Macaca mulatta: one gene and its partners. The protein of the gene in region 1 interacts with the protein of each later gene in a biochemical or structural test. Links are inferred from orthologs where the notes say so. Each region holds a gene or a part of one and is shown in the gene's direction. Other genes may lie near its edges.

Region 1 (2,733 bases):
ATGCTGGGATTACAGGCGTGAGCCACCGCACATAGCCAAGTTTAACAGCTTTTAAAAGTCTTTTTTTTTTTGGCCGGGCGCAGTGGCTCACTTTGGGAGGCTGAGGCGGGCGGATCACAAGGTCAGGAGGTCGAGACCATCCTGGCGAACACGGTGAAACCCCGTTTCTACTAAAAATACAAAAAATTAGCTGGGTGTGGTGGCGGGCGCCTGTAGTCCCAGCTACTCAGGAGGCTGAGGCAGGAGAATGGCGTGAACCCGGGAGGCAGAGGTTGCAGTGAGCCGAGATTGCGCCACTGTACTCCAGCCTGGGCGACAGAGCCAGACTTTGTCTCAAAAAAAAAAAAAAAGTCTTTTTTTAAGACTGGGCACAGTGGCTCATGCCTGTAATTCCAGCTCTTTGGGAGGCCGGGGTGGGCAGATCACGTGGTCAGGAGTTCGAGACCAGTCTGGCCAAACTGGTGAAACCCCCATCTCTACTAAAAAATTAGCTGGGTGTGGTGGTGGGCACCTGTAGTCCCAGCCACTCAGGAGGCTGAGGCAGGAGAATCGCTTGAACCCAGGAGATGGAGGTTGCAGTGAGCTGAGATCATACCATTGCAGCCCAGCCTGGGCGACTGACAAGAGTAAAACTGTTGCAAAACAAGAAAAAAAAAGTCTTTAAGCTGAATTTGAATACTCTTTACTTACTATATGTATGCCACACTATTAGCTAAAAGGACTGTTTTTTCTTTTTGCTAGGAGCCGGTGAAACCTGAAGAAGGCAGAGATATGGCAAACAGGATTGGTGCTTTTGGGTACATGGAGTGTTCAGCAAAGACCAAAGATGGAGTGAGAGAGGTTTTTGAAATGGCTACGAGAGCTGCTCTGCAAGCTAGACGTGGGAAGAAAAAATCTGGGTGCCTTGTCTTGTGAAACCTTGCTGCAAGCACAGCCCTTATGCGGTTAATTTTGAAGTGCTGTTTATTAATCTTAGTGTATGATTACTGGCCTTTTTCATTTATCTATAATTTACCTAAGATTACAAATCAGAAGTCATCTTGCTACCAGTATTTAGAAGCCAACTATGATTATTAATGATGTCCAACCCGTCTGGCCCACCAGGGTCCTTTTGACACTGCTCTAACAGCCCTCCTCTGCACTCCCACCTGACACACCAGGCGCTAATTCAAGGAATTTCTTAACTTCTTGCTTCTTTCTAGAAAGAGAAACAGTTGGTAACTTTTGTGAATTAGGCTGTAACTACTTTATAACTAACATGTCCTGCCTATTATCTGTCAGCTGCAAGGTACTCTGGTGAGTCACCACTTCAGGGCTTTACTCATTAACAGATTTTGTTGGCATAGCTCTGGGGTGGGCAGTTTTTTGAAAATGGGCTCAACCAGAAAAGCCCAAGTTCATGCAGCTGTGGCAGAGTTACAGTTCTGTGGTTTCATGTTAGTTACCTTATAGTTACTGTGTAATTAGTGCCACTTAATGTATGTTACCAAAAATAAATATATCTACCCCAGACTAGATGTAGTATTTTTTGTATAATTGGATTTCCTAATACTGATATTTGTCATCCCCAAAGAAAGTGTATTGGTTTTTTAAAAAAGAAAGTGTATTTGGAAATAAAGTCAGATGGAAAATTCATTTTTTAAATTCCCGTTTTGTCACTTTTTCTGATAAAAGATGGCCATATTACCCCTTTTCGGCCCCATGTATCTCAGTACCCCTATCTGGAGCTGGGCTAAGTAAATAGGAATTGGTTTCACGCCTGAGGCAATTAGACACTTTGGAAGGTGGCATAACCTGTCTCACCTGGACTTCAGCATCTGGCTCTAATTCACAGTGCTCTTCTCCTCACTGTATCCAGGTTCCCTCCCAGAGGAGCCACCAGTTCTCATAGGTGGCACTCAGTCTCTCTTCTCTCCAGCTGACTAAACTTTTTTTCTGTACCAGTTAATTTTTCCAACTACTAATAGAATAAAGGCAGTTTTCTAAACTTCGTGTATCCTGTTGTTTGTGTTGCTCTCTCCAGGGCTGGGGGCAGGAGGATGCAAGGACTTCCTGGCCTAGCTCACCCTGGAGAGGTTTGTTCAGGGTGCAAAAGACTAGGTTGTGCCCCACCTCCCACCTACCCAGCAGCTAATCTGGTCCCTCCCAACAACATGGAAATGATTACCCTGTACCGCATTCTAGTTCAGATTTGGGGGGAGGGTGAATGCAGCCTACTGAGGAGGCCAGAGAGGGAGGACTCAGGCCGCGTTTCCTTGGCCCTGACGAGCTCTTGGGCTCCACTTCAGGAAGCTGGGGCAGAGCTTCCAGGACTCTGCCCTGTTAGAAAACCCGCGCAAGGGCGGTGCCGCTTTGGAGACAGGGAGGAGGGAGACCGGAAGCCCATATCCCTCTGGCTGTCCCCTGCACTGCCGGTAACATGGCACAGGAGAGGAGGGCTGTTTGCGCACCGGCAGCTGCTGCCGCCGCCCACCAGCCTTCTATGCCGAACCCCACATCCTAATTGAGGAGCCTTTGAGAAAGAAAACGGAGCCCTCGAGGGCCCCAGCCCTCGGAAGGGTGACCTGGACCGCTGCCGCCTGGTTGCCTGGGCCAGACAAGACATGCCCGCGGCTCCTCCCGGCTTGGGCGGAGCCCGCGTCCAGTTCGGGCGCACCCTTCAGCCTTTTCCCGGCTGAAGGAGGGGCCGAGCCCTCCGGATAGGGCGGGGGCCGGATGAGGCGGGACCCTCGG
Region 2 (3,929 bases), on another chromosome or scaffold:
AATTCAAGAAGAGATTGCGGTCTTTATACACGGTTTGTTTTAGTTTTCCTTCTGCACCAGATGTGTTTTCTACAGCATTTGCATGTGGGATAGAAGATCATGGATTGCCATTTTGAAATATGGAAGGCACCTATTTTTTAGTGATCACATGGGGAGTGTTTGGCTTTCCATTTAGGATAACGTAAGCTACCTTTTCACTCTCATTTTTTTTCCCAATTTCCCACTAGGAGCAGTTACCCATGACCCCCCTCAGGATTCCGTTCCTGTCAGTTCAGTCTCTCTTATCCCACCACCACCGCCTCCGAAAAATGTTGCCCGAATGTTGGCGCTAGCATTAGCTGAGTCCGCACAGCAAGCCTCAACTCAGTCATTGAAGAGACCAGGGACCTCTCAGGCTGGGTATACAAATTATGGAGATATAGCGGTGGCTACAACTGAAGATAATCTGCCCAGTTCTTACTCTGCAGTTGCTCTAGATAAGGCCTATTTTCAAACCGATCGACCAGCAGAGCAGTTTCACCTCCAGAATAACGCACCAGGAAACTGTGACCATCCTCTACCAGAGACAACAGCTGTTGGGGATCCTACCCATTCCAACACAACTGAATCTGGGGAGCAATATCACCAAGTAGACTTAACAGGGAATCAGCCACATCAAACATATTTATCTGGGGACCCAGAAAAGGCCAGAATTACTTCAGTTCCCTTAGACTCAGAGAAGTCGGATGATCTTATAAGTTTCCCTGAAGACCAGTCTGGGAAGAACAGTATGCCAGCTGTCTCCTTCTTGGATCAGGACCAGTCTCCACCCCGTTTCTACAGTGGAGATCACCCTCCTTCTTATCTTGGTGCAAGTGTGGATAAACCCCATCACCCTTTAGAATTTGCAGACAAATCTCCCACGCCTCCTAATTTACCTAGGGATAAAATCTTCCTTCCTTCTGGGTCCCTTGCAGACAAATCACCCACACCTCCTAATTTACCTAGGGATAAAATCTATCCTTCTGGGTCCCCCGAAGAGAATACCAGCACAGCCACCATGACGTACATGACAACTACTCCAGCAACAGCCCAAATGAGCACCAAGGAAGTCAGCTGGGATGTGGCTGAACAACCCACCACTGCTGATTTTGCTGCTGCCACCCTTCAGCGCACACACAGAACTAATCGTCCCCTTCCCCCTCCACCTTCCCAGAGATCTGCAGAGCAGCCACCAGTTGTGGGGCAGGTACAAGCAGCAACCAATATAGGATTAAATAATTCCCACAAGGTAAGAAGGGGAAGATATCAGTGAGATGAAATATACTATTACCAAAGGTATGTCACTTTTCAGCAGGGTGTGTTGTTACCTTTGAGTCAGACACAACAATTGCTTTTAAGCCCTATGGCTGGTTTCCATGAAATAATTCCCATTTGAGGTTGGAGCCTGCCGTTACCTTGATGCTGGCTTTTCCCGAGAAAAGGGAGTAGCTCCTCCATGACTATAGCTTAACTGTACCTGCTCCCTTTTCTTCTAAAGTGTCTTGGTAGTTTATTCCTAGTAACACAATAAACTAGTAAAACACTAGTTTATTCCTAGTAACACTTAGTAAGACAAAGTGGGCTTTAAGGTTGTGAGTTTTTTTTTTTTTTTTTTTTTTATTCCAACTCCATCGCTGACTCATTGTGACTTTGGGCAAGTCATTTACCTACCCTCTGCCAATTATTCACAGTTACACAATGAAAATACTTCATTCTCAAAACATCCGTAGGACTGTCTGCCTTGCAGACTTTTTGCAAGTGTAAGAGATTATAGTACCTTGGGATTTTTGTTACTTTCCTAGCATCCACCAGCAGTTTGTCCCATAGTCAGGCACCTGCTTCAGTGAGAGAATGTAGTATACAGAATGCTAAGGTTTCTTCCTGAATTTCCTCATATTTTAAGAAGGGCCACAGGTTGTTTTTCTTAGTCATCTTGAACTATTAATAGGACCTCAGATTTTAGACCTTAGTGGAGGATGCTGTGTTTACTGCTTCTCAAGGATAGCATGTTTTCAGTATGAGGATTATCTTTGGCCAGACTAAGGTGGAATCAAAGGTAGGGGAGAGGCAGTAGCCTCTGATTTGAATATTGCCTTTCCCTATTTTTGAAGGCCTAAAGCTGCTCAGTGTGTACAACTGTGAATTTCAAAAGTCTCTCCAGATGATAGAATTAACTCTTAATTTAACAAAATGTCCTTGGTGTTGAGACTGAGCTAGACTAAGAGACCGGGTATGTATTTTTAAGCTCTACAGTATTACTTGACTAAACCTCTCTTGGTTTGTATATTAAAATCATGCCATAGGCCACCTCGCCTCGCATTTAAAACCTCTCATAAATTAGAAAACTTTGAATGGTTCTCCAGAGAGAATACTATATTTATACAAAATAGCAGCACCAGCCTTCTTTTCCTATCAGTGGGTACAGATTCATTGCAACCACATGGCTTGGGAAAGTTCAAGTTGCTACCCAACCAGCCTCAATTTGTGAGTTACAAATTTAATAGTACTTGATTCATAGACGGAACAAAAAATAGATGCATAGTATTATGGTCTTTCAATAGGTTCAAGGAGCAGTTCCAGTTCCAGAGAGGCCACCTGAACCTCGAGCCGTGGATGACCCTGCGTCTGCCTTCATCAGTGACAGTGGTGCAGCTGCTGCTCAGTGTCCCATGGCTACAGCTGTCCAGCCAGGCCTGCCTGAGAAAGTGCGGGATGGTGCCCGGGCCCCGCTGCTGCACCTGCGTGCCGAGTCTGTCCCTGCACATCCCTGTGGCTTTCCTACACCACTGCCCCCCACCAGGACGATGGAGAGTAAGATGGCTGCTGCCATACATTCCAGCAGTGCAGATGCCACCAGCAGTTCAAATTATCATTCCTTTGTCACTGCTTCATCCGCCTCTGTGGATGATGCATTGCCTTTACCACTTCCTGTCCCACAACCTAAGCATGCTTCTCAGAAAACAGTTTACTCCTCCTTTGCTAGGCCCGATGTCACCACTGAACCCTTTGGTCCAGAAAACTGTTTGCATTTCAGTATGACTCCAAACTGCCAGTACCGTCCCCAGAGTGTACCTCCACATCACAGTAAATTGGAGCAGCACCAAGTGTATGGTGCCAGGTCAGAGCCACCAGCCTCCATGGGTCTTCGTTATAACACATATGTGGCCCCAGGAAGAAACGCATCTGGACACCATTCCAAGCCATGCAGCCGGATCGAGTATGTGTCGTCTTTGAGCTCCTCTGTTAGGAATACCTGTTACCCTGAAGACATTCCACCATACCCTACCATCCGGAGAGTGCAGTCTCTCCATGCTCCGCCGTCTTCCATGATTCGCTCTGTTCCCATTTCACGGACAGAAGTTCCCCCAGATGATGAGCCAGCCTACTGCCCAAGACCCCTGTACCAATATAAGCCATATCAGTCCTCCCAGGCCCGCTCCGATTATCACGTCACTCAGCTGCAGCCTTACTTTGAGAATGGCCGGGTCCACTACAGGTATAGCCCATATTCCAGTTCTTCTAGTTCCTATTACAGTCCAGATGGGGCCCTGTGTGATGTGGATGCCTATGGCACAGTCCAGTTGAGACCCCTTCACCGCCTTCCCAATCGAGACTTTGCTTTCTACAATCCTAGGCTGCAAGGAAAGAACTTGTACAGTTATGCTGGTTTGCCTCCACGTCCCCGGGCCAACGTGACTGGCTATTTCTCTCCCAACGACCATAATGTAGTCAACATGCCTCCGGCGGCTGATGTGAAGCACACCTACACCTCATGGGATCTTGAGGACATGGAAAAATACCGCATGCAGTCCATCCGGAGAGAGAGCCGTGCTCGGCAGAAGGTGAAAGGGCCTGTCATGTCCCAGTATGATAACATGACCCCGGCCGTGCAGGACGACTTGGGTGGG
Region 3 (3,646 bases), on another chromosome or scaffold:
GATCTGACAAGTCTATAATGACTTAAGTGATGCCATGATAAAACCAAAATAGTGGGGAAAATATTTGGCAAATTATTCTAAGAATATGCCAATTTGGATAAAGTGGTCATTTGGAGAACTGGTTTTTAGGAAAGTGGCCTACTTACTCCACTGAGGCTGCTTGGGGAATTAGTCCCAGCCCCTCACAGGCGTGGTGCTCATTCCACCCATGAAGGCTGACACAAGGGGAGGTTGCCAGGAGCTCACCCATGAAGCTACCAGAAGGCAGAAAACCCACTCTATGGCTATCCCATGAAGCTAGAGGAAGGGCAAGCTGGCGGGGGGACAGCCTCTCCTGAAAAGCAGCATGGACAGACTCTGTCCTGCCGAAGTCCTCACACAGCCCACACAGGTGATTTGAGGTACACCCCAAGTGCCTGGCAGCTAAACACATTGCCATTAGTGCCACATCATTTAGCTTAAGGCTCTACTAAGTCAGTAATTACTTTAGTGGCATTATGGATAAGTACAGATGAACTGGCAGTCGCTTCAGGAAAGAGACACATGTGGTGAGTCCTGATGCGCGGGGAGGGAAGGAAGGTGGGGTGTTGGGCCCTGCAGTGGGGTGGGTAGGGGGCTGCAGAACTTGGGGCACTAGTAGGGTACAGCATATAGGGCCAGGAGGAAAAAGGAGAAATCAAAGTTGGGGAGTGGTAGGGAAGGAAAAGGGTCTGTAGTGAATAGAATGTAACTCTTCCCTATTGGTGATTTCCCTTTGAACAAACGTTGGCCAAATTATTTTCTGACCCAGTACCCTCCTATATCAAAGCAGTGATGGGATAGTGGGAAATAAGCAGCCTTCCTATTGTTAAAAAAAAAAAAAGAAAACAGAAAGAAAAAAAAAGCCTGGAAATGCCTCTAAGGCAGGGGTTTAATGGAGAGCCCTGGAAATGAAGTCTCTCTGTGGGCACCTGTCCCCTCAAGGCCACACCTGTCCTTGGCAGGGGTCTGGAGAGGTGGTCAGGGAGGGTGCTTGGAGAGAGGAGCCCTGAGCTTGTGCCTTATGTGTGAGTTAACGTGGCTTGAGTGTCCCTGGTGTCCCCAAGCCTGGCAAACTGCTGGGTTCAATGGACAACTTTCCCTTTATAGTCCCTCAGCCCTGCCTGTCAGCCTGGCTGGGGACCTGGTGGCTGAAGCCCTGGGACCAGGGCGATCCTAGAGTCCTTGGGCAGAGCAAGGGGGAATAGTGGCTAGAGGCCAGGCCAGGACATTGTTATTTATCCACAGGCCTTCTGACAGTGGCCCGCCCGCTGAGCGCTCCCCCTGCCGCGGCCGGGTCTGCATCTCCGGTAAGAAGCACAGCTACCCCAGCTGCTGGCACCCCTTGCCCAAGCACACGGCCTTTTGCCCCATCTCAACATCTGTTCCTACCCCCCTGCCCCTTAGACCTCCGGATTCCACTCATGTGGAAGGACACAGAATATTTCAAGAACAAAGGTGGTGAGTTCCACACACCCTGGGACAGATTCAGGGGAATGACCCTGACGTAGGAGGCTCTTGTGGGACGTGTTTTTTGAGTTTTGCCCTCTTTGTTCCTAGACTTGCACCGCTGGGCTGTGTTCCTGCTACTGCAGCTGGGGGAACACATCCAGGACACAGAGATGATCCTGGTGGACAGGACCCTTACAGACATCTCCTTTCAGAGCAATGTGCTCTTGTGAGTACCTCAAACTGTGGCTCCCTTCCTCCACTCTGCTCCAGTTCTAGATGAGCAAGTTCCAGGGGAGGAAGCTGTGGGTGGGGGGCACCTGGCCTTCCCTGTGGAGCTGTCCTGCACTTGCCCCACCCACATCCCCCACCCTCTGCCTCCCTGGACTTTCCTGTGATCACCCTCCTTCCTCCCACCAGCGCTGAGGCGGGGCCAGACTTTGAACTTCGGTTAGAGCTGTATGGGGCCTGTGTGGAAGAAGAGGGGGCCCTGACTGGTGCCCCCAAGAGGCTTGCCACCAAACTCAGCAGCTCCCTGGGCCGCTCCTCAGGGAGGCGTGTCCGGGCATCGCTGGACAGTGCTGGGGGTTCAGGGAGCAGTCCCATCTTGCTTCCCACCCCAGCTGTTGGGTAAGGCCTTGCACACTGCCACTACCCTCAGCTGCCTATATTCGGCCCACAGGTGACCTTTGAACTGTGTTGAGTGTGCAGAACCCATTTTGCATTGCTGCCAGGATGTGCAGACAGACATGAATGAGCAGTGGCCACGTAGCTGGGAGGCATTCCAGCCCACGCCCCAGAGCTGGGCTGAAGCCAGTCCAGAATACCAGTAGGAAGGCAGGGAGACTTAGGCCTTGGGGTCTTAACTTTTTAGTAGCAGCAAATACATTTTATTTTTAGAGACGGGGTCTCGAACTCTTGGGCTGAAGTGATCCTCCCGCCTCGGCCTCCCAAAGTGGTAGAATTACAGGCATGAGCCACAGCACTCAGCCTAGCAAATACATTTTATGTGGATAGAGCAGAGCTTCTTGGTTGGAGCAGAGTACCCTGGACCTGTGGTGGTATCTACATGCACCCGGAGACACCTCATGGGACCACTGAGACTCTGAGAAGCAGTTTGAGAACCTTTGGGTAGTCAACAGAATACTGATTTTGGACACAGATATGGGTTCAAATTCAAACTCCCCCACTTTCCAGTTACAAACTATGGGCAAGTTTCTTAACCTCTCTAAGCCTCAAGTTGCCTCATCTAGTTGAAGAATGCCACCAACCTCACAGGGCTGTCATAGGAATACAGTGGGATAAAACATATAAAGCATAGGTCCTGACACTTAGCTGGAGCTCAGTAAATGTTCATTCCTAACCCTCTGGGGAGACAAGCGAGTTTTCTGTGGGGCAGCCTGAACAATGGGGCAGATGTGCTCAGCCCTTAGAGTTCCTGCTGGCCAACACGCCCCTCCCTCGGCTGATGCTCTCTCCTATCTCCCTTAGTGGTCCTCGTTACCACCTCTTGGCTCACACCACACTCACCCTGGCAGCAGTGCAAGATGGATTCCGCACACATGACCTCACCCTTGCCAGTCATGGTAAGCATGTATGTGCATGGGGGACACACACATGTGATGGTGAGAAGAGGGGCTGTGGGACGGTCCCCTTCTCATTCCCCTACCTCACCCTGCACTTCCTCCTCCCCCAGAGGAGAACCCTGCCTGGCTACCCCTTTATGGTAGTGTGTGTTGCCGTCTGGCAGCTCAGCCTCTCTGCATGACTCAGCCTACTGCAAGTGGTACCCTCAGGGTGCAGGTGAGGTGAGAGGGCCCTGAGGAGTGGAAGGGAGCAGGGAGAAGGCAGAGGAGAGCTGGATAACCAGGAATAGAAGAGCTAATGAAAAATCAAGATTTGGGTGGAAGAAATGGGATATGACCAGATGAGGGGAGGAATGGACAGCAGGGTGGACAAAAGGGGGGCTGAGAAGAGAGATACTGGGGGGTGTGACTTCCCCAGAAAATGTTGAGTCATTTGTGCAGCCAGCTGGGGAGATGCAGAACTGGGCACAAGTGCATGGAGTTCTAAAAGGCACAAACCTCTTCTGTTACCGGCGACCTGAGGATGCAGACACTGGGGAAGAGCCGCTGCTTACTATTGCCATCAACAAGGTGATGGGTCCCTTGTGGTAAGG
Region 4 (4,619 bases), on another chromosome or scaffold:
CATTACTTTTAAAAATGGCAAAAACCTCAATGATTTGCATCAACCTAAATACATCCCTCCTTAAACTACGTTGTTTTGTTTTGTCCGCTTTTGGAATTTATATGAATGGAATCATATGTCATTGTCTTGCTTCCTTCATTAGGCCTTGTTTTGAGACTCATTATGCCATTGTGGTTAGTTGCAGTTTATTCTTGTTCATTGTTTATGAAAACACTGCAATATACAATTTTGTCTTTTCTACTGCTGATAGACATTTATGTCGCTTCCAGTTTTTTGCCAACACTATTTTGTATTCTTATACACATCTCTTGGTGTACATAAGTAGGAGTTTCTCGCTGGGAGCGGTGGCTAAGGCCTGTAATCTCAGCACTTTGGGAGGCAGAGGTGGGCGGATCACTTGAGGTCAGGAGTTCAAGACCAGCCTGGCCAACATGGTGAAACCCCATCTTTACTAAAAATACAAACAATTGGGCATGGTGGTGTGCACCTGTAATCCCAGTTACTTGGAAGGGTGAGACAAGAGAATAGCTTGAACCTGGGAGGCGGAGGTTGCAGTGAGGCGAGATCGTGCCATTGCACTCCAGCCTGGGAGACAGAGCAACACTTCGCCTCAAAATAAATAAATAAATAAATAGGAGTTTTTCTTAGGTAGAGAAACTACTCCTAGCAATAGTCATAGAATGCACAAATCTTCAATGTTAGCAAATAGTGCCATACTTTGTTTTTTTTAAATTTCAGAGATTGTGTCCATTTACACGTCTACGGGTACTGTATAAATGTGTGTACCTCCACATCTTCGCAAACACTGTCACATCCTTTTTTTGTTGTTGTTCTCGAATTTGAGTGTTATTGTTTCTCATTGTGACTTTATTTTTCATTTTTTCTGATTATGAACGAGGTTGACACCTTTCATACATTTGTTGGTCATCTGGATTTCCGTTTTGGTGACGTGCCTGTTTTAAGTATCTCTTCTATAATTTATTTTAAAGTGTCCTTTCAGACAGCCTCAATGACTTTCATCAACTCCTTGCAGGGCAGTCAGCCGGGAGATAGAGTAATCAAGGTAGGTTGAAGTCAACCTCAAAACATTCGCCGCCTCAGCTGTAGCAGAGAACCATTGGGTTTCCCCAGGTGACAAGTACTTCTACCTTAGCCGCGTGAGAGAGAAAGAAGACCAGGCTGAGTAGCCTGGCTGCCTACCTCCTCGCGGGTGGCCGAGAGCAGGGGACAGCACCCAGGCGACTTCCTCAGGGATCCTAGATAAACAGTCGCGTCCCCAAACGCAGCATCCGGCTTAACCGCCAATTTCAAACTTCCAAGACCTGCCCAGCCGACTTTGCCCTTCCCTTTATCCCATTGGTCGCGAGTCAAAGGAAGATGCAATTTGATTGGCTCTCCTTTTCACTTTCTCCATCACTTTAAAGACGTGGGCGGGGCCTGGCTGAGAAGCCCATGTCTATCATAGGAACGGGCACGCTGATTGGTCCAGACACGGCTGAGACCCGCCCGCGCCGTTCCTCTGGTTCAAACGCGGCGGCGGGAGGCGCGGGGCGGAGCAGATCGCAGACCAGCCGGGTCCGCAGAGCGTGAGTCTGAGCCCCTAGACCCAATTCTACCGCACCCTGCTCCGCAAGGCCAGGGGAAGGCCGCCTCCACCCACACCAGTCCCGGCTTTCCCTCCCGCCGCGGGGAGGGCGGTGCTTCCACCCCTAGGGCTGCGGGAGGCCTGGAGGGTCTTCCCAGGCTGGCTGTGCGCGCGCGCACCCTCCTCAGGAGCCGAGGGGCCTGCCGGGTGGTGCCGGGGCGGGAGGCTTGCTCCTCCCCTAAACCAGGAGGAGCCCTTCGTCTCTTCAGCTCTGCCTCCTGTCAGCACTAACTGCTTTATTCTGCCCAGTGTAGTCAGCCAGTTCCTTATTATCTGCGTGATAGCAATTTTCTTAACCTCTCTGTTTCAGTGTCTTCATACCTCGTGCCCATCCCACCACCTCCTGATGCCCCCGCCTCTTTCGCTCTGCTCCATTCCCTCTGGCCTCCCTGTTATTGTTGGAGAGGCCAGATCCTGCCTCAGTGCTTTTGGCTTGGCTGTTTCCTTTGCCACGGATATCTTTCTTTCCCCAGATATCAACATGGCTTGCTGGTCACCCGCTTCAGGTCTTCAAGTCTTGGGTCAAATGGTGTCTTCTGTGAAGTCTGACTTGACCACACTAAAGATTGCACCGTCTCACCCCCATTGCCCTTATCTTACTTGGTTTTGTTTTTACCTCATAGCACTTAACACCTTCCAACAAACTATATATAGTTTGCTTATTTCAGTCATTCATTTAATAACTACTTATTCACACCTATTTATGTGCCAGGCTATGTGTGCCCCCACTGCGTGGGGGCAAAAATCTCTGCCCTTGTGGAGCTTCCATTCTAAGGGGGGAGATAATAGACACATTGATAAGTAAGAGAGTATGTCAGATAAGTGTATCACCTCCTGTTACGGTGAGTTAAAATCTGGTGTTTAATCTCCATGATTAGACTGAGCTTCCTAAAACTGGAGTGGTAGCTAATTTTCATCTCCTTGTCCCTGATACCTTGAGGGAGATCAGGATCTCTCAAGCCCTTCCTGCTCAAAACATAGGACATACTTGACTTTTCTGATATCCTTTCAGCACCAGTGGGGAGATGTTGAAGTTCAAATATGGAGCGCGGAATCCTTTGGATGCTGGTGCTGCTGAACCCATTGCCAGCCGGGCCTCCAGGCTGAATCTATTCTTCCAGGTAACAGGCTACCCTGCCAACTTTGCTCACCTGTGTGTTTCCTTGGAATCTCCTTGTCACTCACCTTTGCTTTTATTTTATTTATTTATTTAGAGTCTCACTCTGTCGCTCAGGCTGGAGTACAGTGGGGCAATCTCAGCTCACTGCAACCTCTGCCTCCTGGGTTCAAGCGATTCTCCTGCCTCCGCCTCCAGAGTAGCTGGGACTATAGGCGCCTGCCACCACACCCGACTAAGTTTTGTATTTTTTTTTTTTTTTAGTAGAGACGGGTTTCACCATGTTGGCCAGGCTGGAGTCAAACTCCTGACCTCAAGTGATCCTCCTGCCTTGGCCTCCCAAAGTGCTGGGATTACAGGCATGAAATGCGCCAGGCTTGCTTTCATTATAGGACCAAGGATAATATTTTAGGAGAAATTCTGTTTTGTTTTGCTTGAAACAAGGTCTTCTGTCGACTCTAGGCCTGTGCCACCATGCCCAACTAATTTTTAAATTTTTTGTAGGGATGGGGTCTCACTATGTTGCCCAGGCTGATATTGAACACCTGACTTCAAGTGAGGCCTGCCTTGGCCTCCCAAAGCACTGGGGTTATAGGTGTGAGCCACTGCACTGGCCTTCTATTTGGAGTTTTATATGCACTGATTATTTTGGAAAAAGGACACTGCAGAAGTAGATAGCTGAACTTGCCTTAGGAGGGAGATCCTTTCATATTTCTCACACTTTACACTTCTGTACTAAAGTTCATTAATTGATTGATTGACAGGGTCTTGCTCTGTGGCTCAGGCTGGAGTGCGTTGGCACAATCACGGCTCACTGTAGCCTTGACCTCCCGGGCTCAAGCGATCCTCCCACTTCAGCTTTCCAAGTAGCTGGGACCACAGGTGTGTGCCACCACACCTGGCTAATTTTTGTATTTTTTGTAGAGGTGAGGTTTCACCATGTTGCCCAGGCAGGTCTCGAATTCCTAGGCTCAAGTGATCCACCTGTCGCAGCCTCTGAAAGTGTTGGGCTTACAGGCGTAAGTCACTGCACCAGGGTGAGTTTGCCCTTTTATTGGAGAAAGAAAAATAAATGAACAAAGATGCTTTTTAAAACTACAATTTCTGTGGGTATCATCCTATTCATTTTCATTGCAGGGATGTTTATTTTTTAAGATTTAAAAAAAAGTTTTGATGAATATCACACCTGTTTAACCCTCATTCCTCTCAAGATAACACATTTCCATCACCCCAGATGTGTTAAAACTTAATGTCATAAGATTACTTCCAAATAGATTTTTAATTCTTTTGTTTCTGATGTATATAGAACACTGGTGAAGTAGAAATCCTTGTTTGATTTATGTATTCATAAGTCAGGGGGACAATAGAGACTGTGAAGATTTAGAATTGAATCCCAGTCCCAGCACTAGTTAGCTGTGTTACTCTGGGTGAGTCAGTTACCTTTTCTGAGTCCATTTGCTGTTCTTTAAAATAGGTTGTAGCCTGTAATCCCAGTATTTTGAGAGGCTGAGGTGGGTGGATTACTTGAGGTCACGAGTTCGAGACCAGCCTGGCCAACATAGTGAAACCCCATCTCTACTAAAAATATAGAAAATTAGCTGGGCGTGGTGGTGGCATGCACCTGTAATCCCAGCTACTTGAAAGGCTGAAGCAGGAGAATCGTTTGGACCCGGGAGGCGGAGGTTGCAGTGAGCTGAGATCGTGCCACTGCACTCCAGCCTGGGCAGCAGAGTGGGTGAGACTCCATCTCAAAATAAAACAAAAAAATAACGTAGAGGTTGTAGTACCTAATCCACAGGGTTGTTGTGAGGATTAAATGAGATATTACATATAAAGCATTTAGCACCTTGCCTGGCT
Region 5 (3,929 bases), on another chromosome or scaffold:
TAAAAGATAAATTTTATCTTTCTAAAAGATAAAATTTACAGAATGACTGACCCCTGTGAGAAGGGCGTATTACCCTGTGTAATATGCTGTTCCGGAGTGATCTAGAGACTCCTGAGCATGCCCTAGAGAAATACTCCCTCCTGACTATATTGAAGAGTACAAATTTTATGCTTATTCTCAAAAAAATTAATGTTGCTGAAATATTTCATTTTTATTAAAATTTTCCTGGGTAGTTTCTAACTTGAGTATATACACTCTTTTCAATTTCAGGAACATTTATCCTATTTCCACTTTGTTGGACGAATAATGGGAATGGCTGTGTTTCATGGACATTATATTGATGGTGGTTTCACTTTGCCTTTTTATAAGCAATTGCTTGGGAAGTCGATTACTTTGGATGACATGGAGTTAGTAGATCCAGATCTTCATAACAGTTTAGTGTGGATACTGTATGTATTGAGTCTTCTGTCTCTTCATTATAGTTAAACTCTTGAGCTTTTAAAAAAAAGTTTCAAAACCGATGTACTTAAAAAAAATTACACAGAAAATATTGAGTGGTTGAGTGATAGGATCTCATATGATTTCCCCCTTTCTGTAGCTTCTTTATATATTTCAAATTCCTTAAACTTAGCAAGTGTTACTACTTTAAAAAGAAAAAAAAAAACTAGTATATTCTATTTTTAAAAGTACTTTATATGATTATTTCCTCAATGTGATGTAAATTCTGTTCCAAACCTGCATGTGTTAGAATAGCAAATTCTTGCTGCCATTGCTTTTAATGAAGTGGCGATTGTTGGAACCATACTTTTAGATAAGAACTAATTGTTGAATTTAAGCTAAGAACTGATTCTGTTTTGCAAGAGGTCGTTATTTTTATGAAGATACACTGGAAATGTTTATTTTTTATAAAGTATACAGTGGCTTTCTCAACTAGGGATACACAGGCACTTGGCCCCTTGGAGTACAGTACCGAGTAGCGCTCTTCAGAATGCCAAATATAACTGAAATTGTCCTATATTGGTGGTTCTAGCAAGTCCCAGCTTTGACCAGGGCTCTTTCTCATCACTCAGGAAGTTAAATGTTTCCTGTGTTTATGCAGGTTAAAGCTCTTTGACTTTTCTGTCCAGAAAGAACTAGGTAGTGTGGTAGTTTAAGAGTTCATAAGCTGAATCTGACCTCACATTTGTCATATTATAAAATGATCTTAGTTTTATCTCACCAGTTAATACATCTATAGGGTCTGTATTTTAGGTTTCCCAGTTACCTATCTCTTCCTCTTTCCTTTCCAGTGAGAATGATATTACAGGTGTTTTGGACCATACCTTCTGTGTTGAACATAATGCATATGGTGAAATTATTCAGCATGAACTTAAACCAAATGGCAAAAGTATCCCTGTTAATGAAGAAAATAAAAAAGAATATGTCAGGTAAACACTCCTGTGTTCTCAAGGCTGAATTTTTTTAAAATGTTCTAGGATGTTAGTATGAACAAACTTAAATATTTAGATAGTATTACTTAGTGTTACAAAATCCGCTTCAGCAGAATTTAGTGGCTTATTAAGAACAGCCATTTTATTATTTCTCACAATTCCAAGGGTCAGGAAATTGGGCAAAAGAACAACATGGATGACACACTGCTGTTCCACAAGATGTCAGCTAGGCCTGCAACACCAAGATGGCCTCTTCACTCATAACTAGGATAACTCAAATGGCCGAGGGCTAGCTGGCATGGCTGTCGACTGGGGTCACTGGCTGGGTCCTAGTTCTCATTGTTGGCTGAGTTCCTTGGTTCTCCCTCTGTGATATCAAAGGCCATTCCCTCTCTCCATGACCACTCCCTCTCCCCATAGCCACTCTTTCTCCCTGAAAAGTTTGTCCCTTCATTGTAATGAAGGTTAATCATGTTACCCACTGTATTGATAGACTTCTTATGGGGTGGCCAGCTTTCCAAAGCTCAAAAGCAGAAGCTGTAGATCTTTTTAAGGCCTAAGCCTGGTCCTGGCCAACATGACTTCTGTCTAGTTCTGGTTAAACTGAGACAGCCAGCCCAGTTTCATCATGGAAGAGGAGCTGTACAAAGGTGTGAATACCAGGAGATGTGGGCAATGGGGCCATGTGTGGTGTAGCTATCACAGGTGGCAATTCAGAAGGGCTTTTGTGCTGTATATTACTAACATTTAGCCTGTTTATAAACAAGCACATTGTGAGTTTAGGGATAAATGTAAATAAATGTTTTTCAGATTTCATAAAGTAAATTTGAGGAATTTTTATGTATTGGGCTAATTTGGCTTATGAGAAATAAAAAGTCTACCAAACAAAACTGTGGTAATCAGCTTTGGAAGTTTGAACTTGAACTTTACTGTATGTACACAGAAACTTGCATGCTATACTTTTTTTGTATAGATCATGTTCTCAAATCTTACTAACATTGTTCCTAGTTTAAAAATGAGGTCCACTTGATTGGAGTGAACACTGGCATAGCTTTTCTGGAAAGCGGTTTGATACCAGCAGTACATGCCCTTTAGCAGCTCTGTGTTTAGGACTCTTCTGCAGAAACACACATGTAATTGAAGAAGTACAGGAAAGGATGGTCAATTAAATACTACTTGTAAAAATTACACTACTAAAATCTTTTTAGAGAAGAATGATTATATTATACATTCAACAGAATATTATGTGGATATTTAAAAGAAAGACTACATAAGCTGTCATATTTTAAAACTAAATCTTACAAGAATTATGTAGGAACAAAGTCTATGTTTTTTTGTTTTGTTTTGTTTTTTGTTTTCTTTTGTTTTTCTTTGAGACAGAGTCTCACTCTGTTGCCCAGGCTGGAGTGCAGTGGCACAATCTTGGCTCACTGCAACCTCTGCCTCCCAGGTTCAAGTGATTCTCCTGCCTCAGCCTCCCGAGTAGCTGGGAGTACAGGTGCGCACCACCACACCCGGCGAATTTTTGTATTATTGGCAGAGATGGGGTTTCACCATATTGACCATGCTGTTCTCAAACTCCTGACCTCATGATCTGCTTGCCTTGGCCTCCCAAAGTGTTGGGATTACAGCGTAAGCCACCGTGCCTGGCTGGTTTTTTTTTTTTTTTTTTATAATTATACTGAAGATGTTCAGGAGGCTGCAGTCAAATAAAGTTTTTGCCTAGGATGAGGGAGTGGAGGTGATGGGACTGGAAATAGGGAGGAGAAAGAGGGTAAAAGAATGGACTTTCATATTTTACTGTCTCCATAGTTAATGTTTGTTTTTTTGTTACATGCATAAAAAGTATGTATTACATTTCTACTTTAAAAAATGAAAGAACAGGCTGGGTGTGGTGGCTCATGCCTGTAATCCCAGCATTTTGGGAGGCCAGAGTGGGTGGATCAGCTGAGGTCAAGAGTTTGAGACCAGCCTAGCTAACATGGTGAAACCTTGTCTCTACTAAAAATACAAAAATTAGCCAAGTGTGTTGGCAGGCACCTGTAATCCTAGCTGCTTTGAAGGCTGAGGCAGGAGAACCACTTGAACCTGGGAGGTGGAGGTTGCAGTAAGCTGAGATCACACCACTGCACTCCAGCCTGGGCGACAGAGCGAAACTCTATCTAATATAAATTTAAAATAATAAAAAAAGAAAGAACAAATGAGAATTTCCTAAGTCTTAGCAGTATCTCCTTTTCAAGACCTCGTGTGTCCTACTCAGTCCCTGGATCCCACTCTCCAGGGTTCAGTCGTGTTTACAGCACACGGTACTAATGCCTTGCCAGCTACAGTTTTGAGATTAAAAATTACAAAGAAAAATTTTTACAGTTGTACAGTTTTTCTGTCCCCTTAGCCCAGCAAACAGAAATATGGTCCTCCAAAGGATGTGTTGTTAAGTAACTTCTCTCTTGAAGTGGAGAACCATTTCTCCAGATTTGGAAATGGTAACAAATTTGACAG
Region 6 (4,592 bases), on another chromosome or scaffold:
GACCCTGTCTCAAAAGAAAAAAAAAAAAAAGGTAGTGGGTAAAAAACAAGTTTGATAAACCTAGCTTTCTCTTTCTAATAACATATCATTTTCTTTCTATAACATGCTAACAGAAAGGCGTTTGTTTGCTGGAGAAAGCGCATAATGAACTTTGTGTGTGTGTGTGTGTGTGTGTGTGTGTGTGTGTGTGTTTGGAGACAGTGTCTAGCTCTGTCGCCCAGGCTGCAGTGCAGTGGCCTGATCATAGTCACTGCAACCTTGAACTCTGGGGCTCAAGCGTTCCTCCCACTTCAGCCTCCCAGTACCTGGGACTACAGGCGTGCACCACCGTGCCCAGCTAATTTTTGTATTTTTTGTAGAGATGGTGTCTCCCTATGTTGCCCAGGCTGGCTTCAAAGTCCTGGGCTCAAGTGATCTGCCCGCCTCGGCCTCCCAAAGTGCTGGGATTACAGGCTACAGCCACCTTACCCAGCCATGAGCTGTTGGTTCTAACCTGCAACCCTGGGAGAAGGGGAAACTTAGCAGAAGACTGGGGAACACCAACCACAATGCTGCTTTCTTGTTTGGTAAAATTGTATGCAGATTGGATAATAACAAGCATCCGCCTCTCAACTTTATCCCTCTCTCATCTCATTTTCCTTGTCCGTATATGGCACTTCTGCGATTCTGGCAACTTTGTTATGGGTCAGTGGAGCACACCGGTTGTACAGAACACACCTAAGCGCTTTGTCTCTTTGAGAAGTCCCTCCCTTGAACTTGCACGATCGAAAGCTCTCAACTAAAAAAACTGGTATTGCACGCCTGTGTGCAAGGTGCTTGGTATGGACACAGCCCACGGTTTCATGCAAACACCTCTTCAGTCACTCAGGAGCCACTCAGAGCCTCGCAGAGACAGGGGCCAAAACAGAGGGCGACGGCGCACTGGGCCCCGGGGCCAGCTCTGCTCTCCCTTCCCGGGCTTGGGGCCAGACTCTCCCACCCGCTGGCTCGAGGAAGCGGGAAGACCCCATCCCGCGCGATCCGGGCCTCGCGCGCCCGAGGCGGGTGGGCGACGTAGCGGCGCGCCCCGCCCCGCCCCGGAGCACGCCGCGGGGGCGCGCACGCACGCAGGCACGGGGGCGCGCAGGGCCGGGCCGGCACGGCGGCGGGCGCGCGCGCGGCTCGGGGAGGCGGCGGCGGCGGCGGCGGCGGAAGCGGCGAGGGCGGCTGGCGTCCGGCTCTGAGGTGGTGGAGGCGGCGGCGGCTGCGGCTCGGGACTGGGCTCGGCTGGGAGGAGCGAGAGTCAGAGCGCCGCAGCGAGCGCCGATCTCCCGGCTCGACCATCCGCCTGCCGCCCGGACGCCTGGGCCGCGGAGTTTGTGTCCCGGCTCGGACCCCGGCGCCCAGCCCGGAGCCGTAACCTTGAGGCGGCGGCGGCGGGGCCGGGCCGGGCCGGGCCGGGGGGCGGCGGCGCTGGATCCGCGGCTGCCCGATCGTTGGCGGGAGATGTCGAACCCCGGGACACGCAGGAACGGCTCCAGCATCAAGATCCGTCTGACAGGTACGGCCGGCGGGAGGCCCACCCGCGCCCCTGCGCCCCTGCGCCCCCTCGCCCTCCGTGGAATTCCCCGCCGGGCGCCCTTGGAAGCGGCCCTCCCCCACGCCGGCCGTTGTCCCAGGACCTCGTCACCCCCTTCGGCGTGCGCCCCTTGCTTCTCCCTCCCGGCCCCGCCCCCTCGCCGTTGCCCGGCCCCGCCCCCTGGCCGCTCGCGCCCCCACGGTCTCCCGTTCCCCCGCACCTGCCCCTTCGCGTCTCCGTCCTGGGTCCGCCCCTCTCATTTCCATTCCTGGCCACGCCCCTTGCATCTCCTTCCAGGCCCTGTCCCCTCACCTCTCCCCGGCTCGGCCCCTTGCCTCTCGCTTCCCTTCTTCTCCCTAGCACCGGACCCCTCGCTTCTCCCTCCAGGCCCCGCCCCCTGGCGGTCCTCTCCTTTCCCCACCTTTACCTCCCCGGCACCTGACCCCTCACATCTCCCTGGTCCCGCCCCCTCGCTCCTGTCTGCTCCCGCCTCCTTACTTCTCTGGCCCCGCCCCCTCGCTTCTCCCTGGGTCCAGCTCCCTTGCTTCTCTCTGGTTCCGCCCCCTCACTTCTTTCCTAGCCTGGGCCTTCACTTCTTCCTGGTCCCGCCTCCTCACTTCTTTCCTAGCCTCGGCCCTCACTTCTTCCTGGTCCCACCCCCTCGCTTCTTCATTCCTGGCCCCGTCCCCTTGCTTCTCTCGTTTATTTCTCTCCTCCGCCGTTTTTACGCCCTCCATGCTTCTCCTTGCTTCCCAACCTCTCCGCCCACCTGCCCCCTCGCTTTTCCTTCCTGGCCTCGCCTCTGTTCCCCTGGTCCCATCCCTCACTTCTCACCACTTTCCCATCCTCTCTCTTGCTTTCCTGTTTCCCCTCCCACCTGCTCGCTCCCTTCATCCTCCTGGACTTTCCCACCCGCTTCTCCCCCACTTCCATCCTCTCTTTTGCTATCTCCCCTTCCACTTGCCCCTTGCTTCTGCCCTCCTGCCCCCACCCACCCGCTTCTCACCCCCTCAATCCTTTTTCGTTTCTCCCTCACCCCCTACACCGTCCTCATTTCCTTCTTCCACTAGCCCCGCCCCTCACTTTCAAGCCCCGCCCTCATTCCTGCCTAGCCCCGCCCCCTCGCTGCTGTCTGGCGGGGCCTCCACCCTTTCTTTCCTTCAGCCTGAAATTCCTCAATCCTATCTTGTAGCTGCTCCCAGTCCTGCTCTCCTCACTTCCCCCTGGTCCAGCCCTCGTCAGTCTCAGTCTGGGCCACTTCCTGTCTCTTAGGCCAGACCGCTAGCTACTTTTGACTCGGCTTCTTCAATTTTTACCTTTTCTGCATTTTGTTTCACCATCACCCTCACACTCAGCAACCCTGAGCGCCCGTGAGACGCTGATCCCTACTCCCACACTCACTGGAGGCTTTGGAAGCTGCCCACACGCAGGCTCCTTGATTCATTTCGTCTTCAGTGAAAAGCCCGTGTTTCCTGGGTGGCTCTGTAGTGCCACCTTCAAGGGTGAGCGCAACTCTCTGCCGTGGGCCTGCGACTTGGTGGCGTGGATGTGATGCCAGTCTGTCTCCCTAGTGGGCTCCAGAGGTTCTGGACCAGGCTGCATCCTCATCTTCCCTTTCTCACTCTCCCTGGTACTACTGTCTTCCCAGTTTCAATTCATCCCTAAAGCAGGACGGCCGTGTTGCAAATGTGGCTCTGCTCCGGGACTTTCCAAACTCGAATATTTCCAGCTCTGGAAAGAAACTAAAAAGTTCATTCTAATCCCCGTCAGGGATTTTCCCCTGGATTTTTCTGTTCAGTGGCTCAGTCGGGTGAGAACTCCAAAGTCCTGGTCTGGGCAGGTCCTTTCAAAGAGAGAATGAGCGTTTTGAACACTATATGGCAGATGCGCAGCCATAAAGTCATCGGTAAAATCCATGCAAACAATGGGTAATTTTTTTAAAACTAAAATTTACTTTGAGAGCCCATAGTTGTTGCATGGCCCAACTTTTGTCTGAAGAGAAGGTTTTGTTTTTTTGTATAAAGATAATGAGATAATGATTTGGACCCAGACCCAGACCCTGGTTTTGTAATGTAAGAGGTAGTTTCCTCTGGGATCTTTGCTTCTGGGGAAATAGATTTCTTCACACCAGGGCTGATAGGAAACACTTCTCACTTTGTAGATACAATGTAGATACATTTTTATTTATGCGGTAACATAAAAGTAACATTTTTGAGATTGTAATACTTGGAAAGCTTTTAACTTGGTTCTGATTTACAACTCAGTCTGTAATTGACATCATATTGGTTTCAGTTATCTTGTTAAAAGCGAAAGCAACTGATTTTGTGTTTTGTTAGAAATATGATGAGTGTTTTAGAAGGAATAGGTTTTAATTGAAATGTTTATGTCCGGTATATATATATTAATTAATCCTAGTTGCCAAGCCTGGGCCTTGAAAGGGAGGACTTGGGTTGTCCTCCTCCCAAATTATTTTTGGATTCAGGAATTTAGATTATCGATGCAAGAATGCTTTAAGGAATTTTTGGATGACATTTGATAGGGAAGGACCAGGTGATGAGTGTTCTTTCTGAAACACCTTTTCCCTTTCCCTTTCCCTTTCCCTTTCCCTTTCAGTAGATGTTATGAATGGTTTGAGAGGATCTGTGAGTGTGATCATCCTTACAATACAATTGCGGTTTAGCGGTGATGGTGTACACATGCAATGCCAGTACGTGGAACCTTAGTTTACCTCGAAAGGTTTGAACTAGAAAGTTTGTTGACAGCGGAATAGGTTTTGGCCTCATCTTTTTGGTTAAGGGAAGTTTGAACTCTCACTTCTGGAATGTTGAGTAACAATCTTTCAGAAGTTGAATACTTTTGTTACAGGTTTCAGAGTTTATTTCCATGTTTGTTATTTGAAAAAAAAAAAAAAAAAAAGGACTTTAAAAAAATGAGGGATGTTTCAACCAGTCAATGAATATACACAGAGCGAAATTCAGTGCAAAGATAGCGAAGATGGCTGGGCGCGGTGGCTCATGCCTGAAATCCCAGCACT
Region 7 (3,929 bases), on another chromosome or scaffold:
TACTTACACTTCTAACTTGAATAGAATATTACAGCCTTAGTACCCCATCCCTTCTGTATGCCATTTGCTAGTCTTAAAATAATTATATTCTCCTCATACTTCTTTCATGACAATTCTCTCCCATATTAATTATGAGTCAGAGAGAAGAAATGAGGTGGGAGTCCCTGAGATCACATTCTCACTGCCATAGATGTACTTTTCTAATTGTTTTCCTGTTTGGCTATAAAACCCTCTGGCCCATTGTGTTTTGATTCATTTCTTTTCATGTTGCATTTTTTATAGGTGTTTTTCGTGTTCATTAGCATCAACTAGATTTATAATTTAAGGTCAATAGATTTTTTTTACTGTATATACCAAGACCTTACATAATAAGATGCATAAGTTTATAAATTGAAATTTGTTATATAAAGTAAGTAATTTACTGCTTTGTAGAGCCTTAAAAGGAGAAACATTTATCTCTTTATGTGGATGGTGTACAGAAGCCTAAAAAACAAAATAATAGAAAAGTCCAGTACTTTATGATTAAAATATATATACATTAAAACATATAGGTAGTGGTCAGTATATGGATTGACCCCAGCTTAGGAACTATGTTCTACAGGTGCATTTAAACACTGATTATTAAAACCTTAAATATATTTCCCCACATGAGCATTTTCAATGTCTACTGTGTATTCTCTCATATAGCTTTGGTATAATTAACTTGTCCCTGGTTTTTGAACATTCAAATTCTTGCTAATTTGCTTTTTAAATTATGTTTTATTGTTATAATAAGCGAATATCTTTGTGTATAAAGCTTGGTCTGAATTTCCCCTTTCTGCCCTACGTACACAAAATGGGTCTTGCTACCCAGTGGTATTTTGAAAATTAAATGACCTAATATTCTTAAAGTGCTTATTAGCACAATATGTGGCACATTGTGAGTACAGAATAAATGCTATTTGCAGAACTTTTTCTGACTCAGCAATGAGACAAAGAAATAAAAAGGTTTCAAATGAGTTCTTTGAAGCAAGCAAGCATTGGGGTAGTAACATAGCATGTGATGACAAACAGAGGAGGGAAATCCAAAAGATTGAAGCTGTAAGAGAAGGAGTTTTGGTGGTTATTCATATGTACTGGTTGTTCCCAGTTGTGTATTCTTTAAGTATACTTTAGGAATACCTTAGCTGGAAAGTGTCACAGTGTAAGTTTTGTTCCTTTGAATTAAAATGTGTAAGTTTGATAAAGTAATATACAGTTGAGAAACATTACAAATCTCTTTAAAACAGTGTGACCTTTGTGTCTGTAATTTTTGTTCATTGTATTTGTATTTCATATTTTTGTGATATTTTATTCAAGTGTGTGTCCAATGATGTCTTTTCTGTTTTCTTTATTATTTTTTTTAATTATCCTAGTCACGTGAACTGGAAATTTCAGTTTATTGGCGTGATTGGCGGTCTCTGTGTGCTGTAAAATTTCTGAGGTTAGAAGATTTTTTAGACAACCAGCGGCATGGCATGTGTCTCTATTTGGAACCACAGGGTACTTTATTTGCAGAGGTAATAAATGTATTTTATTAATGTGCATAACTACAATTGAAATTACGTATGTAGGCAGCATAATATAGAAGTGGAAAGAGTGTTAGGCTGAGAGACAGATGACTTGAGTTTTGGCTGAGCTATGCCACTGAATAGGTATGTGACCTTGAGACAAACCAATTATTCTTTCTATGTCTGTTTTCTCAGCTAGAAAATGAGGGGCTGGACTAAACTATAACTAAGATTCTCTTAAGCTTTCAAATTTTATAAGTTTAGTGGATTTCATGAACCATAAATCCAATGCTATTTTCATGTCAACTTGAATTTTCTTCACTGCAGGTTACCTTTTTTAACCCAGTTATTGAAAGAAGACCAAAACTTCAAAGACAAAAGAAAATTTTTTCAAAGCAACAAGGTAATTACTAACAATCAAATACATAGCATTTTGATATTTTCTTAAACATCTAATTACCATTTTAAAAGTAATAGCCATCTGTGGTTTTTTTTGTTGTTGTTTATTCATTTATTTCTAATTTCTTATTAAGGAATATTGTAAATGTATCCACAAGTGAAGAGACTAGTGAAATGTACAATCATCCAATTTCAACAATAGTCAACTCATTTTATTTTATCCATATGCCATCCTCTCACTACTTTCTCAAATTTGAAGCAAACCCAGACATCCTACTGATTTATTCATAAATATTATAGTTTAGATCTGTAAAAGATAAGATTTCTTTTTAAAACCTTAATCACATATTACTACTAGACTTAAAGAGAAAAAAAAATTTCTTACCTATTTATTTTTAAAACTACTTATGCTATTTTGCACCAGCCTTTACTAGCAAATAGTAAAAAACTAGTTTTTTTAAGTGACAAATTTTGTTTGTTCTTCATAGATTATAAACTGACGAGTAAGAATTTTTAAATTATGACTTTTGGTTATACATAAATTACTTGTTCTATTTTTGTTATTTTCAATATATACAGGCAAAACATTTCTCAGAGCTCCTCAAATGAATATTAATATTGCCACTTGGGGAAGGCTAGTAAGAAGAGCTATTCCTACAGTAAATCATTCTGGCACCTTCAGCCCTCAAGCTCCTGTGCCTACTACAGTGCCAGTGGTTGATGTACGCATCCCTGAACTAGCACCTCCAGCTAGGTATGTGTCTGAGATTTTAAGCATCTTATGCAAAGTTATTGGGACAATTACGTACCGATTATAGCAGGTGTACTGAGTCTTGTTTTTTTCCCCAAGTAGTATTTTGAAAGTAGTGTTCTGTGTACTTAAAAAGTAAATTGTTTGCTTTAATTTTAAAGTGGTTTAAAATACAGACTTTCTATTACTGTTTTGGTGAGTTACTTTATCTTCTATAAGTGATTCTACAGTAACCAAATTGGACTTTGATCTTGAGCCTGAACCTCCTCCAGCCCCACCACGAGCTTCTTCCCTTGGAGAAATAGATGAATCTTCTGAATTAAGAGTTTTGGATACACCAGGACAGGCAAGCCATTTTAAACCTTGCATAATTCCTTTTCACCGAATGAATTAGCAGTGAAAGCATCATAGTGAATAAGGCGTGTATTTCCATTTAAAATTGCCACTGTGAATTTATTGTTTTTTGTTTGTTTTTTGTTTTTGTTTTTTGAGACGGAGTTTCACTCTTGTTGCTCAGGCTGGAGTGCAATGGCATGATCTTGGCTTACTGCAGCCTCTGCCTCCCAGGTTCAAGTCATCCTCCTGCAAGCAATTCTCCTATCTCAGCCTCCCAAGTAACTAGGGTTACAGGCACATGCCACCATGACCAGCTAATTTTTGTATTTTTAGTAGAGATGGGGTTTCATCATATTGGTCAGGCTGGTCCTGACCTCAAGTGATCTGCCCGCCTCTGCCTTCCAAAGTGCTGGCATTACAGGCATGAGCCACTGCGCCCAGCCGAATTTGTGTTTCTTATGGTCTAGTCTCAGCTAAATTAGACTGAGTTGATAGGAGATAACCAACTTCTTAATGTTGGCATGAAATTGTCGTTAGCCTCTGGATGCTCATGGTCCAGAAGAGATAGAATAAGCTGCTTAAGCTATAGGTAACATAGGAGTGAGTTTGATACTACATGACATACTGCCTGAAATACTATTCTTCTTCTAGCATGATTAACATACATAATAATGTGTTAGTTTTTTGTTGTTTTGGTTTTGTTTTGTTTTGGTTTGGTTTTAAGATAGAGTTTTGCTCTTGTTGCCCAGGCTGGAGTGCAATGGCACTATCTTGGCTCACTGCAACCTCCACCTCCTGGGTTCAAGTGATTCCCCTGCCTCAGCCTCCCAAGTAGCTGGGATTACAGGCATGCACCACCACGCCGGCTAGTTTTGTATTTTTAGTGGAGACAGGGTTTCTCCATGTTGGTGAGG

The links.
Region 2: of the proteins of RHOA (region 1) and ARHGAP32, one has a biochemical effect on the other in vitro, tested with the Homo sapiens proteins (3 studies listed by BioGRID). The link is inferred for Macaca mulatta from reciprocal best matches to the Homo sapiens genes RHOA and ARHGAP32.
Region 3: the proteins of RHOA (region 1) and RTKN form a complex in vitro, tested with the Homo sapiens proteins (8 studies listed by BioGRID). The link is inferred for Macaca mulatta from reciprocal best matches to the Homo sapiens genes RHOA and RTKN.
Region 4: the proteins of RHOA (region 1) and CIT form a complex in vitro, tested with the Homo sapiens proteins (2 studies listed by BioGRID, with this or other methods). The link is inferred for Macaca mulatta from reciprocal best matches to the Homo sapiens genes RHOA and CIT.
Region 5: of the proteins of RHOA (region 1) and SMURF2, one has a biochemical effect on the other in vitro, tested with the Homo sapiens proteins (3 studies listed by BioGRID, with this or other methods). The link is inferred for Macaca mulatta from reciprocal best matches to the Homo sapiens genes RHOA and SMURF2.
Region 6: the proteins of RHOA (region 1) and SMURF1 form a complex in vitro, tested with the Homo sapiens proteins (2 studies listed by BioGRID and IntAct, with this or other methods). The link is inferred for Macaca mulatta from reciprocal best matches to the Homo sapiens genes RHOA and SMURF1.
Region 7: the proteins of RHOA (region 1) and PKN2 form a complex in vitro, tested with the Homo sapiens proteins (2 studies listed by BioGRID, with this or other methods). The link is inferred for Macaca mulatta from reciprocal best matches to the Homo sapiens genes RHOA and PKN2.

Annotation. Positions count from the first base shown.
Region 1 is NC_133407.1:112,801,054-112,803,786, reverse strand, and holds the end of RHOA (transforming protein RhoA), read left to right. Parts: intron 1-531; exon of another isoform or gene 532-741; coding exon 742-915; 3' UTR 916-1,987; downstream 1,988-2,733. UniProt on the Homo sapiens protein: Small GTPase which cycles between an active GTP-bound and an inactive GDP-bound state.
Region 2 is NC_133419.1:129,332,969-129,336,897, reverse strand, and holds part of ARHGAP32 (rho GTPase-activating protein 32), read left to right. Parts: intron 1-227; coding exon 228-1,270; intron 1,271-2,582; coding exon 2,583-3,929. UniProt on the Homo sapiens protein: GTPase-activating protein (GAP) promoting GTP hydrolysis on RHOA, CDC42 and RAC1 small GTPases. May be involved in the differentiation of neuronal cells during the formation of neurite extensions.
Region 3 is NC_133418.1:50,374,875-50,378,520, forward strand, and holds part of RTKN (rhotekin), read left to right. Parts: intron 1-1,266; coding exon 1,267-1,328; intron 1,329-1,425; coding exon 1,426-1,479; intron 1,480-1,578; coding exon 1,579-1,696; intron 1,697-1,887; coding exon 1,888-2,097; intron 2,098-2,958; coding exon 2,959-3,053; intron 3,054-3,163; coding exon 3,164-3,270; intron 3,271-3,494; coding exon 3,495-3,623; intron 3,624-3,646. UniProt on the Homo sapiens protein: Mediates Rho signaling to activate NF-kappa-B and may confer increased resistance to apoptosis to cells in gastric tumorigenesis. May play a novel role in the organization of septin structures.
Region 4 is NC_133416.1:127,159,458-127,164,076, reverse strand, and holds the start of CIT (citron Rho-interacting kinase), read left to right. Parts: upstream 1-1,510; 5' UTR 1,511-1,586; intron 1,587-2,657; 5' UTR 2,658-2,670; coding exon 2,671-2,766; intron 2,767-4,619. UniProt on the Homo sapiens protein: Plays a role in cytokinesis. Required for KIF14 localization to the central spindle and midbody. Putative RHO/RAC effector that binds to the GTP-bound forms of RHO and RAC1. It probably binds p21 with a tighter specificity in vivo.
Region 5 is NC_133421.1:74,453,999-74,457,927, reverse strand, and holds part of SMURF2 (E3 ubiquitin-protein ligase SMURF2), read left to right. Parts: intron 1-270; coding exon 271-449; intron 450-1,289; coding exon 1,290-1,427; intron 1,428-3,929. UniProt on the Homo sapiens protein: E3 ubiquitin-protein ligase which accepts ubiquitin from an E2 ubiquitin-conjugating enzyme in the form of a thioester and then directly transfers the ubiquitin to targeted substrates.
Region 6 is NC_133408.1:46,363,680-46,368,271, reverse strand, and holds the start of SMURF1 (E3 ubiquitin-protein ligase SMURF1), read left to right. Parts: upstream 1-1,447; 5' UTR 1,448-1,485; coding exon 1,486-1,540; intron 1,541-4,592. UniProt on the Homo sapiens protein: E3 ubiquitin-protein ligase that acts as a negative regulator of BMP signaling pathway. Mediates ubiquitination and degradation of SMAD1 and SMAD5, 2 receptor-regulated SMADs specific for the BMP pathway.
Region 7 is NC_133406.1:151,798,377-151,802,305, reverse strand, and holds part of PKN2 (serine/threonine-protein kinase N2), read left to right. Parts: intron 1-1,394; coding exon 1,395-1,538; intron 1,539-1,856; coding exon 1,857-1,932; intron 1,933-2,507; coding exon 2,508-2,682; intron 2,683-2,898; coding exon 2,899-3,025; intron 3,026-3,929. UniProt on the Homo sapiens protein: PKC-related serine/threonine-protein kinase and Rho/Rac effector protein that participates in specific signal transduction responses in the cell.